2 linked regions of the Drosophila melanogaster genome follow. The protein of the gene in region 2 purifies or fractionates together with the protein of the main gene of each other region. This does not show direct contact. Each region holds a gene or a part of one and is shown on either strand. Other genes may lie near its edges.

The links. Proteins that work in one complex are often made in the same cells at the same time.
Region 1: the proteins of ics (region 2) and Ilk purify together in Drosophila melanogaster (affinity purification with western blotting, with the first as the bait; one study listed by BioGRID). This does not show direct contact.

The regions. Positions count from the first base shown.
Region 1 is NT_037436.4:21,214,734-21,220,663, reverse strand, and holds Ilk (integrin linked kinase), read right to left. Parts: upstream 3,764-5,930; 5' UTR 3,601-3,763; coding exon 3,512-3,600; coding exon of another isoform or gene 3,508-3,511; exon of another isoform or gene 3,098-3,507; coding exon 2,932-3,097; intron 2,874-2,931; coding exon 2,328-2,873; intron 2,266-2,327; coding exon 1,720-2,265; 3' UTR 1,424-1,719; downstream 1-1,423. Other genes in the region: Trmt112 (tRNA methyltransferase subunit 11-2), read left to right, coding at 3,943-4,020, 4,086-4,187, 4,341-4,535; CG10508 (uncharacterized protein), read right to left, coding at 4,881-5,088, 5,163-5,291, 5,552-5,930.
Region 2 is NT_033779.5:13,638,367-13,645,098, forward strand, and holds ics (icarus), read right to left. Parts: upstream 4,237-6,732; 5' UTR 3,654-4,236; intron 2,907-3,653; exon of another isoform or gene 2,905-2,906; 5' UTR 2,883-2,904; coding exon 2,744-2,882; intron 2,116-2,743; coding exon 1,494-2,115; intron 1,431-1,493; coding exon 1,340-1,430; 3' UTR 1,081-1,339; downstream 1-1,080.

The DNA of each region.
Region 1 (5,930 bases), on a different chromosome or scaffold from region 2:
CCTTCGAAGTGAAAGTACTAGGATTCGGAACGGCCTTTTTGCGCTGCGCCTAAAAGATTCCACTAGATGTTTCACTTTCACTGGATAAAGTGTTCACTAGATAAAGTGTGTGTGTTTTTCCGTTTGGCTGTGTGGGTAAGTTTAAAATGTAAAGCTTTTGGGGTTCCTTAAATTTTCGTTTATTCCACGTATGCACTTCACTTCACCAAATTTCTTTGATGTTTCTTTTCCAATCTTATGGGGAATCCTTTGCGGAAATGCTCTTGCCGTTTGGCTGGCTGCCGTCATAACTGCCGTGGAATACTGTAAATCGGCTTTTGGCCACTGCAGCTTGCCGTTTTTCCGTTTCGGTCCGTGCGGAGACCGAGCGACCAGCCTCTGGGCCCGAAAAGCGCCGACGACTACAACAGCGACAGGACGACGGCGACAACAAAATGCAGCAAAAAGTTTTTAAAGCTGCAGCAGCAACACCAACACAAAAAGAGACCTGCCACAGGATGTGTGCGGCAAAAGGCAAGAACGAGCCAGCAAAACAATCACATGGCTCAGTGCAAGCTTACCGCACCAACAACATTCTGGCCCGAATGAAGCGTTGCCGCAAAAACATAAACAGAGAGCCACTAGCCGGTGAGAGCCAGGCCAAGAGAGAGGTTGGAGAAAGCGAGAGACAAATTGGCTTAAATGTAAAAAAATATAAATAAATTTATATATAAGAAAATACATATAAAAACGTATTTTTAATTTAAATATAAAAATCTTTTTTTCTATTTATGAAAAAATATGATTCATCCTAGTATGTAAATCATAATTTGCCAAATATTTTCGATATTTAATGACACAAAAAATAACAAAATTATCGTTTAGAACAACAAAATATTATAAGCTAAAATAAATAAAAAGAAATCACAAGTACCTTGTCTAATATAATTTAAGAGCTTTAAACATCAATTTAGAAAAGAAAATAAAACAACATTAAAAGATGATTTTAAATAATATAAAGTACGTTAGCAAAACAAAATCTTAAGGATGATAAAAAGTGTCACTGGCAAATCAGCCAATAACTAATACCACACTTTCCTTAAGCCTATAAATGAAAACATATTGGATAATAAATATAAATTATTTCGAGCAAATACAACAAATTTGCGCCATTCTCGCCGCGAGTTTCTCACGCCGGCGCGCTCTTCTGAAGCGCCGAGTTTGCTCTGCCCACGCGAGCTGCACACAATCGCGTGCTGAAATGAAAACCAGGTCAGGGCCGCCGTGCTCACGTTACCCGACCCGCTGCGCTGATGCATTGCCACCCACTCCGGCGGAAAGCTCCCGACTTGTTTGCTGCTCAGCGAATAAGCTCTGTGGACTAAAGCCCTCGTAAGTGGTTCCGCATTTGCTTTGGTACACAATCAATTTGATCGATTTGATTAATTAGTAACAAATATATTTCTGTATAAATACGATCATAATGGTTATTGAACTTAAAAAGTAAAAAATCGAGCACCCGCACTAAACATCGACGGAAAATCATAAGTAGAGAACAGTGAGACACAGAAACATAAACTCTAGACAGAGCAGTTGCACTTGCTTTGCCATTTCGGTACGGTTTTCGGTTAGGCTCAGTTAGACAAAGGTAACACAAAGTAGTAATTACAATTAGTTGGCAAATCTAAGGTTTCTCAAGGCACATTTTGGCTTGGCATTTATTGAATTTGCCCCTCTCCTTCAGCGGCGCATCTTCTCCAGAATGGGAACCACCATGTCGAACTTGGGCCGCTTGCCGGGATCCTCGTTCATGCAGATTGAAATCAGCTTGGCCATGTGCGTCGATGTGCCTGGCGGAATCTTGACCCGCAGACCTTCCAACGCAATTTTCATGCCGCACTCCATGGGCGACCACTCGGCGAAGGGTACCTCGCGCGTAGTCAGCTCCCAAATAAGAATAGCAAAGCTCCACATGTCACAGGCCTCCCAGTTTCGATCCGCCTGCTTGCGCTGCAATGTTTCCGGCGACATCCAAGCCGGTTGATAGATGCGTCCCTTCTCTTGGAAAGAGAATTTGGCATCGCCCATGTTGATTCTCGCCGTCAGATCATCGTCGATCATCACGTGATGACTGTTCAGGTGATATGTTGGAATAATGCGCTCCAGCGAGTGCAGGAAAGCCATTCCTCTCGCAACATCCAAGGCAAAGCTTACCGCCTGGCTGGTGTCCACCACGACGCCAGTTGCTCCATGCAGCAGGCTAAACAGCGAAGAACGTGGCATAAACTAAAGAAAATAGAATGGTTACCTTATACGGTCATTTCTGAAGTTATTTAAATTCAACGCACCTGACTAATTGTCACCAGATTGGGTGGCGAATTGCATGCTCCAATAATAGGCAAAATGTTAGGGTGCGAAAAGATGCGGAGCTTGGGAAACTCCTCGTTAAAATCTCGCGATATACGAGGCGTGCACTGACGCACGGCCAGGATCTTAGCTACCACATCGTTCTTTTGCCAGCGTCCGCGCCAAGTTTCTCCTGATGGCGTCACCGACAGCTTGGTATGCAGGTCTAGGTCTCCCATACTGATTCCCTTGAAACGGGACAAAGTAGCATCCCGGGATCTCGTCTTCAATCCCTGCCAGCTTTGTTCCTTGAAGCTGATAACCTTAACCTCTCTGCCGCTCTTTTCTACAAGATCCTGAAGCCTCTTGGCCAGACTGGGTTTGGCCTTTTCAAGAGGTGTGTGCCCGTCCTTGTTTGCGATTCCCACCTGGGCTCCCGCATTAAGCAGATCCTCGCAGATCATGTCATAGCCCCAAAAACAGGCGTAGTGCAGGGGGGTGTTTCCATGCTCGTTTACCGCATTCACATCGCTGCGCTCTTTTATCAACTGTAGAGGCAGATAAGTTCTTAAATAAGTTACCTAGCTGGTTTCTGTTTTATCTCACCATCTGGACCACGTCGCGGTGGCCATGAGCTGCCGCTAAATGGAGTGGGATGTCGTCGCCCATATTGGTGGCGTTCACACGCGAACCGCGCTGCAACAGAGTCTCCACAAGCTTGGCGTGGCCCTCTTTAGCCACCCAATGCAACGGGCTGAAGCCATGGTCGTCTCTAAAGTGTACGAATTTATTTGTTTTATTTATTTTAATTATGGTGGAATTTGAGCATTATAGACCTTATATACTTATGCTCTTAGAGTTAGGTATGGTCCTTTTTAAAGGATTATAAGACTAATTATAAGTAAAGAACAATATAAACATGGCAAGCGGGTTTTATGCTCGCGATATGCACACAGGCAAATATGAACATACGTATACTTATATATTTGATTCGTCTGTTTACACAACACAAGAATAAATCATGACGTCACTTAGACTTGAAAGACCCTCGAAATCTTGGGCGTATTTAGGCGATGACTAAGTAAACGTTCCTGGTAGAGGGGGTTGCTACTTGAGGGCTTAACTTTCTAAGTGCACTATAAAGCAACTAGAAAGTGATGGAGTTAGTTGCCTCTATTGGATTTACCCCAAATTGTTGTCGTGCTCCGTTTCATCCAACCAGAGGCGCACTTGAATCGAGTTGCCCTCGCGGCACCAGTGGAATATGTCCTCCATTTTTACTCCTCACTCCTTTATTCCGCTCGCAGTCACTGATATTATAGGTTTTCCAACCTAATTTACATCTAGAAACAGATTTAAACGCTTAAAATGCGACAGTTGTGAGAATTCCAATTAAAATTTGTGCAGTGTGGACGTTTTAAATATTTAACACACTGCTCGCGTTGCCAACTGCTGCAAAACATCGACAAGTGTGTATCGTGGTATCGATGACATACACCAATTGTGAATGTTTAAAGCAAGAAGAAGAAGGAATACAACGTGCACCGCAACTATTATTTAAAAACATTGTTGTTTACCTCATCTCTTTGTATTAATTAAACCATTACAAGCCCGAAAATGAAACTCAGCACATACAACTTCTTGACCTCCGTGGCCATCAAGGGCGTCAAAGTGGGATTTCCCCTGAAACTGACGGTGAGTTCCGGTGTCCCAAGTCCTGGCTATTGATTGTTTCACGGTCTATTTGTTTTTGCATTTAGATTAACAAAAAGGAAGTGGTGGAGAGCGAATTTAATCCAACTTTTGTGGAGAGAATCCTTCCCAAGCTGGACTGGTCAGCGGTCTATGGAGCTGCTCAGGTGGTAAGTGATAGAATGGTTCTAAAAGAACCATAGAATGGTTCTAAATAGTGTTACTGATTTCAAATTTACTGGTTTCAAATATTTTTAATCAGTTTTAAACTATTAAAACCTGTTATTTTTTATATTCGTTAATAATTGGAATTTGTTTTTTAGGCGGAACTCACAGAAGACATTCCTGCCGTTCAGCCTGAAAACATTGTGGAGAATGAACTGCTTTTGCAGAAGCTTCACCATCTGCTCTTCGAGATCGACGTGCTCGAGGGTCAACTGGAGTGCCCGGAGACAGGTCGTGTGTTTCCCATCAGCGATGGTATACCAAACATGCTCCTTAACGAGGACGAGGTCTAGATTACACCCATGTGCTTTTTGTACCATAATCCCCATAATCCCCTTTCTCCAGACGCGCATTAATATTAAATAAGTTTGTTAGTTTTAAAGTTTGTTTATTTACGAGTTACTAAAAACAATTGGAGCTTGGATGGAATGTGACTTCGTTTTTTTTTTTTTTTTTTTTTTTTTTTGTTGAGTCTACGTACTCGTGTGGTATTTGGTAGGTGTTTAAGGATAAGAGCAAAAAACACTACGACATATATAAATCGTAAGTCTGAACATGTGGAGGGTGGTGCTTGGCTACTAAGATTCATCTTCACTTCTTTGGCACTCTGGGGGAGGTTCCAGATGAGATACTCCCGCCTAGTTGCATTTGATGTTGGCGCTCTTGTTGCTGCCTTGGGCGTAGATGCTGCCCTTCGCCAATCCGGACTGGGGTCCTTTGCAGAGTTCCGATTTCCCACCCCTTGGCTTATAGGTGCGATCTGTGAGAAGACTAGCATTAGGTCCTTGAGTGATCTGCTTTTGAAGAAGCTTCGTGTTGGGTCCATTCCAGGTGACATAATCGGCTCTGAAAATAATTTTAATTATATTCATAGATGAGTCTTTGTTTTTATTACTTCGACATTAAGTTGAACTACTTACAGCAAAAGATTTTCATCTGCACCCTTGCTTAGCTGGGAATTGGGTCCCAAACTGGCCATTCGTTCGATAATAGATTGAAATTCAGCTGATTCCGAATTATGCGAATTTCCAAGGGAGTGCTGACGATGTCTGTTGAGAATTGGTTAAATTTGTATAAAAGTTCTTTTTATATTAAACTAAAATATTTCAAAGATTTAATATTTTATATTGAGCTTAAGGCATGCCGAAAGAATATAGTTAACAGGTTCAAAAATAATATCTCAAAAACGGATTTCCCGATACTATCCATGCGAACTCCTTGAAAAACTCATGCGCAAAACGATTGATTTTACTTAGCGAAACGGTAAAAAAACGGTTATCGGAACGGTTTTTGGTTTTAGCGGGCATACTTCAGTGAATCGGTTTTGGTGCGAGCACGACTTTCGAAAGCTGGCCTCCTCGCGATGGATGAGGAGTTGGACTGGGCCGACGAGACCAGCGATGAGGACGTCATTGATGCGGAGTAGGAGGAGTAGGAGCTAGCATTTGAGGAGCCATGCAGGTAGCCGTCGATGCTGTAGTTATTGGTATCGCTCTGGTGGCCAAAATGGTTATGGCCGCTCTTGGCCAAAATGCTCTTGGTGGTCAGGCGTTCGTAGCTTTGCTGGAAGATGCGGGGTGATTGTGGGGGTGAGGCATATGAATGCGATGAGGAAGCACTAGAGATGGATGACAGATGGGTCTCCAGCTTCATCTCCTCCGCTGTGGGCGTTGGTGTGGGCGTAGCCT
Region 2 (6,732 bases):
GTATGACTTTCGAACGTGGCTTTGATTGTTTTCCGTATACATTTTCCTTGTGCAGAAAAAGCAAACGAAGTAACTAATTTTTATATTTCATGTATTTTTACTATCTTAGGTACAATTTTCTATTGTCAATTTTTATTAGTATTAGGTTTAAAGCTTTATGTTTTAGCAATCTGGTAGCAAAACTGCCAATGATGATTATGTTTAATGTTATCTATCATATACGTGTATATCTGCCAACATATAAATCTATTTTTATGTAAGTATCTTAAAGTGCATAGATCATGCATATATGATACTATCGAGTGCTTGTAATTTGCTTTGTTGTAGTCTCATAGGTTACTAGTTTATGTTTTTTGTTTTTGTCTGTGTTTCGTATTTGCATGCTCAAGAACTAATCGTGCAACTACTCACGGAGTCCCGACTGATGTACTACTCCAAGAAAAGACATTTATAGCTTGAAAGCTATATGATATTATTTTTGAAACCCTTGTCTTCGTTTCCATTCGCACATCCAACTTGTATATCGTGACGCATAGCTATGGAATTATCTCAATTCGAATTTACAAGACGTTTCCGTGCTATCATTTTGGAGAAATTTACTGAATAAATGAATTTACATTTTTGTTTGTTTTTCTGCCAGACTTTTCGTAAAAGAACATCTTTAACTCTTGTAAATAAACTCTATAAAAAATATATAAATATAAATACTAAAATATACTTTAAGGAATAAATTAAATTTGAATTGCAGATACAGTGAAGGCGAAATACGTTTACAAAATAATTAAATAACATAAATTGATAAAAAAAAAATGTATTCAATTCAAATTGACAAGTGAAAAAATGCAAAGAAACGAAACAAACTCAAAGCGAACAAAGCAGAACTATGCTTTTAGTTTTTCTCAAACATAGAAAACAAAGAACAAAAACAAAAAACATTTAACTATTAATTTAATTAAAATAAATAAAGAATTAATTAATTGACTTTAAGTAAACTAATTAATTATGATTATGAACAAATTTCTTAAAAAAGAAGAATGAATATGAGAAAAGATAATAAAAACAAGAAAAACCTACTATTTTATAAAATATACAAGCGTGTCTTTATTTAACGATTCTTTTGCGCATAGGATCCGAAATTAAACCAGCAGGAATACATATATGCATCTATTATTTTGTTTTATTTTCATTAGTGAAACTAAGGGTCAAGGCACATTGCAGAAATACGCATTAGTTTAAAAGTACTTATAAATTAGTATACGAAAACGGGTTTGGTTAACAACGAACGAGACGAACACATTTGTAATTCCATGGGATCTTGGGATCTTCTGGTGGAGAATCACTATGCGCGAATTCGAGAGGCCTTCTTGCTTTTGTCAGCTTTGGGTGGCGGCGGTCCACTGCGTCCTGCTTGCAAGTGGCGGTTGTAGATGCTGTCAAGGAAAAGGATCAGATGAATATACATTTATGGATATATGGATCTATGGTGCACTCACATCTTATAGGTCTCCGTTTTGAGGTAGTCGATGACGTGACTAATGCCCAGCAGATATTGCTCGGCGATGGGATTGACCCAGGGATTCTCCTCCATCTTCATGACCGACTTGTTGCTCAGTAGGTCCAACTGGGCGATCTCTGGTGGCAGCACCTGCAGCCTATTGTTTTGAATATGTAGCTCCCGCAGTCGCACCAAATCCCCAACTTCGCGGGGCAATTCCAGAAGATCGTTGTCACGCAATCCGAGTATCTGCAGATTCTTCAGCTGACCCACCTCCTTCGGTATATACTCGAAGTCATTGTCGCCCAGATACAGAGCACGCAGTGTCTCCATACCAAAGAAATTACCAGGCAGGACCTGTTCGTTGAGATTGTTGTAGGACAGGTCGAGCACTTCCAGCACCGGAAAGGCTCCAAAGCCGCGAGGAAGATTTATCAGCCGATTGATGGACACATTGAGGATGCGTAGCTTTGGCATGGACGACAGCGAAACGGGCAGTTCGGTCAGCTGGTTGTTCGAGAGGTTCAGGATCTCCAGATTCAGTAGGTTCGCGATTCCCGGACTGATTACGCTGATCTTGTTGTGGGACAGGGTCAAGCGCGTGATGTTGGACATGTTGACTGCAAAAAAAATTATATTAATAAGAATACTAAACTCTTTAAAATACATATTTTTCCTTTTTCGTGATATCAAAGATTGTTTTTCATAATTGTCCAATGCACTGTGAATTCACCACTGGGTTTAAATGCAAACAGCTGATTGCAGGCAACAAGTATAGACGCCGAATGTTGGAGCGGGACAACAATATAAGCAGAGGCATGCGCAATGTTTTTTTTTTCTCAAAAATTTAATGGTTTTAAGATTAATAATTGTAGTATATTCTAATTTTATGTAAATGAAGTCATAGTTATGGAGTTGTAGTACATTTCCCAGATATGTATACACATCTTATTTGCGGTATTTACAGTGTTTGTTTACGTTCTCTACACTCAAACTTATGCATATTTTGCTGCTGGCGTCATCACAATAAATAAAACTAAGCGACTCCATTTAAAAAGATGCTTAGACTCATTTTAAATGAATATTATTACCACAACATAAATACATACGCTAGAATATTATTAATTTACAATTTTTTTAGCAGCTGGGCGAGGCTCCATTCTGCGTGGAAGTAACCCACCATTATGTTTACTCAGAAGTGCAAAAATCCGTATAATTCCTTCAAGATCCTTTGGTTTTGATACTTACACAGTCCGGGCAACTCCTCGAAGGACGACAGCCCCTTGTCGGCCAAATCCAACTCGGGATTGTGAGTTTCTCGGGCTTCATCCAAAACCTTCTTTGCCTTCGACATCTTTGCGCTCACTGGTATACAAGACTGACTCATTTTCGTTGATTCCTAATACGCCCTAAAAAATACCAGAACAAAATATACATTTCTAATTAATTATTTTGAAGGTTAGTCAATAAATTTTTATTTCTAAAAGCAGAATAGTAAAAGAATTTGGCAAACTAATTCTATGCTTTTTTAAATTTTGTAAGCAATTTTTTTGTAATGTGAGCTATTATATCTGTTATATGTATTTCAGGGCTGCCAGACAAGTAGAAATATGTAATTTTACATCGACAGGAAGCAATGTAAGATATTGTAAATGACTTAATCGAATAATAAGTATTGAGCTCATTTATTAAATAATATTTATATTTATATTATTTAAAAAAAAAGATGTTCATTATTCATTTGTATCTACTTATATATGAATGTGAAATCAAAGCTCACCAAACAATTGTTGATAAAAAGGTACCAACATAAATTTTACGCGCGTTCGATGTATGTTATCATATCTACATGTAGAAAGTGTGTTTACTTGTGATTGGTAAAAACTTAATTGTAACGTGTTTTATTTATTGAATTTATAATAACATGCATTCTTTAATAATATTGATATAATTTTGTTTATTTTTACTTTGCTCGATTAATGAAATATTCAAATGTCTTAAAGGACTTAACATTATTATTATGTATTATGTTAAATTATGTATTAATTTATGTATTAAATTAAAATATAAAATATTGTTGTAAAATGTATTTATTTTTATTTTTATATATTTTTCGTGTAGTTGGTCTAAAACTAAGTAATGAACCACAATTACTTACAGAGTAATTCTAAAACTGTTTTGGCAGCCACTTTCAGTAGCTCTCAAACTGCGCCAACTGCACTTTTTGTTAGCATATGTTTTTCTTCGGTCAGTTTTCAGCACTTTTCATCCACATGAAAACGAATTTAAACGTTTTTTAGGTCACTATGTTACACAAACACTGCACTTGACCTATTTTTGTAGGAAAACACCAAGGCTTTTCATACTGTATGCGTAAAATTGTTGAGTATCTGGACGAATTCGTACTGATTTCTGCAGATTATATGGCACTCACGTTACAGAATGGAACATGGGTTCCTATTAGAATACGTCTCCGCTCTTCGAAATTAATCACGAAAATAGACCCAAAGTGCGGAATGCGTCGTGCGTCGTCCGATCGTCTCGAGAAACTGAGAAGATCTCTCGCAGCGTCAGCAAGATCGATCGATGTGGATGTGGGCGAGTTGGAGGTGATGGGGGATCCGAATAATAGCTGGGGGCTGGTTTTTGCCTTTTTCGATTGTCGCCACTGCCGGCAGACAGGAAAAAATAAAAAACAAATCGAACCCAAACTCAATACCGGGTTTTGTTGATTTTGTTTAAAGTATTTCGCTTTTTCTCCAGCATCTTCACTACAGTGTCGAAACCAGTTTGAATTATATCGAAAAGACAAAAAACAGGCATAACTAAAGCATGAAATCTGTGGTTTGTCGACTTGGAAATAGGCGCTTTGTTGATTAGTTAATTACACAGTTGATTAATATCTTAAATGCAGCCATCTCGTTGACGCATATAAGATTTTAATATGATTTATCACATCTCCATGTGAAGTGAGACATCATGACTTTTTTCGCTATATTTTACGTTCTTGCCTTACTTCTGCTGCTCACACCATATACACATGAAAGTAAACTTCGATATATTAGTGAGTAAGGACACGACTTGGGATAGTAAATATAAAGCTAACCGTTGTAATAAGCTTGCAGGCGCAAAAGTGGAAAGTGGGGACGTTGCATTATAAAACAATCGCCATGTCCTGGCATTACCCATTTAAATCGCGTTTGCAATTCGGCAGCCATTTGCTGTGTGCCTGAATCTCAAAAAGTCTGGGACAATATAAGCTATTTTAAGCGCTTAGAACCGAAAGAAAACAATATAGAAACAGTAATAATAAAGTAAGTCTGTTTCTTATTACTTAGCCACTTAAGAATTTTATACCGTTATAAACTGAAAACTGCAGTGCAATAAGAAATGAGCTTAGAGCACATTTAATAAAATATCAATTCAATATAGTCATGTTGGCTTTTACCCTTTTTAATGCATTTTAGTTTAATTTTCTTTTCTTTTTTAATAGTTTTTATTAGAACTGCAAGCTGAGACATTTCTTCAATTTTATCTATTTGATGGATGCTAGATGCAAATTTTGAAGGGACTCAGATTTCTGGGCTGCAAACATGGCCGATATGATCTCCTTCAGTACAAGCTGCTCGGGGTTTTTCTGCTCTGGCCATTGGCTGTATTTTTAATTACTCTGCGGTGCTCCAGTTGCCGATGCAGTTTTGGATCTCAGAAATACGTAGGAACTAGATGTTTGTGTGGGTGGGGGGGCAACCCCGTTTTTTGGCTTTCGTATTAATTTTCATCCCGCCGGTTGTCGAATCCGCAAAACAGAAAGTTTGTCTTATGCGCCTGCATAATTTGCGTGTTGCACATACCATTTTTTTCGCTTTTTTTTTTTTTTTTTTGGGTTGGGGTAGTTGGCATGATGGCGAGTGCCTTTGCCGTATACACTTCCGCCGTATAAAATATGCAAAACAATGCAAACTCTCGCCTGGCCAGCAAACAACAACAACAACAAGAACAACAGCAACAGCAATGGGAGGGAAATAAAAACTTTCCCTGGCCCAAAAATTAATTTTTGTTTTAGATGGCGCGCAGATTTTTCGGCTGCATTTTTGGCTGCACTGCTAATGCTGCGGCACAGTCGCCACCAAACGACCGCCGGCCACTGTCCGTAATTTTTGTTTTAATTAACTTTTTGTTTGCCTTTTTTTCCTGCTGACAAACTTTTGCAGCTCGGCGCAAATTGTGCTAATTTTGAAATGGTGGCCAAAATGTTTGGAAATACATAGTTTATGCTCAGTTCCACTCATATTAATATATGATTGCAATTAAGGCATTGTATTGTATTGTGTAGCAAAATCAAAGCCTGAGAAGTGTCCTTTGTTAGGTAATCGATTCTTTCATAAAATTATATTGAACTTTGCAGTTCGATTTTCTATGTAAAATTCTAACCGCAATAGCGACCAAAAACCATAAATTCTTCATTGCCAAGCTCGCTTAAATTCCAAATTGGACATTTGGCGGCCATAAATTCGCATTAAGTGTTTACTTCGTTTAAATGTTATCCATGCCAATGTGCGAATGTGCGTAGGAGCGGCAAATAATCGATCCGGATTCTAGTTAATTGATGGCACTTGCCTGCCCTCACTAATTTGTGTCCCTTTCTCACGGAATTGAACGACCACAGTTCGAAAGAGTTGTCGGCTGATTGAATAGCTTCAAGTGGGCTTAAAGTGGACCGAATAATTCGATCCGACTGTTGGCAACAGAAATATAACATCCTCTCTTATGGAGCTGTCAGCACACGGACATGGGCGCATACTTTTGGCCGGCAGTGTCCGGCCGTTGGGCGCTTACTATATTCCTGGCAATTTTTCAATGCGCTTTGTTTGGCCAGTTCCAAGGCAACTGGCATAAAGCCCGATAGCGAAAGGACCTGCCAGGACATGGCAATCATTGGCAACGGTTGCTTTGCAGCCTCAATGAGGCTTCGACCACAGAATGTGCCTTTTGCTTTTGGCCTGCACTTACTTATCCGGCTACCAGGCATCCCCCCGTCTTCCATAACAACCATTTCCCCCCCAGCGCCGTGCCGTTTGATTTACTTCAAACAATTGGCAACATCATACATCAACGCGCTTTTGTTTTTGTTCTGAGCCTTCTTGTTATCCCTTTCCGTTGGGCAAATCCTTCGTCTTTGTAAAAAGGTTTATCGGTTTTTGGACCTCTCGTTTTGTCCAATTTTGTCAGATTTT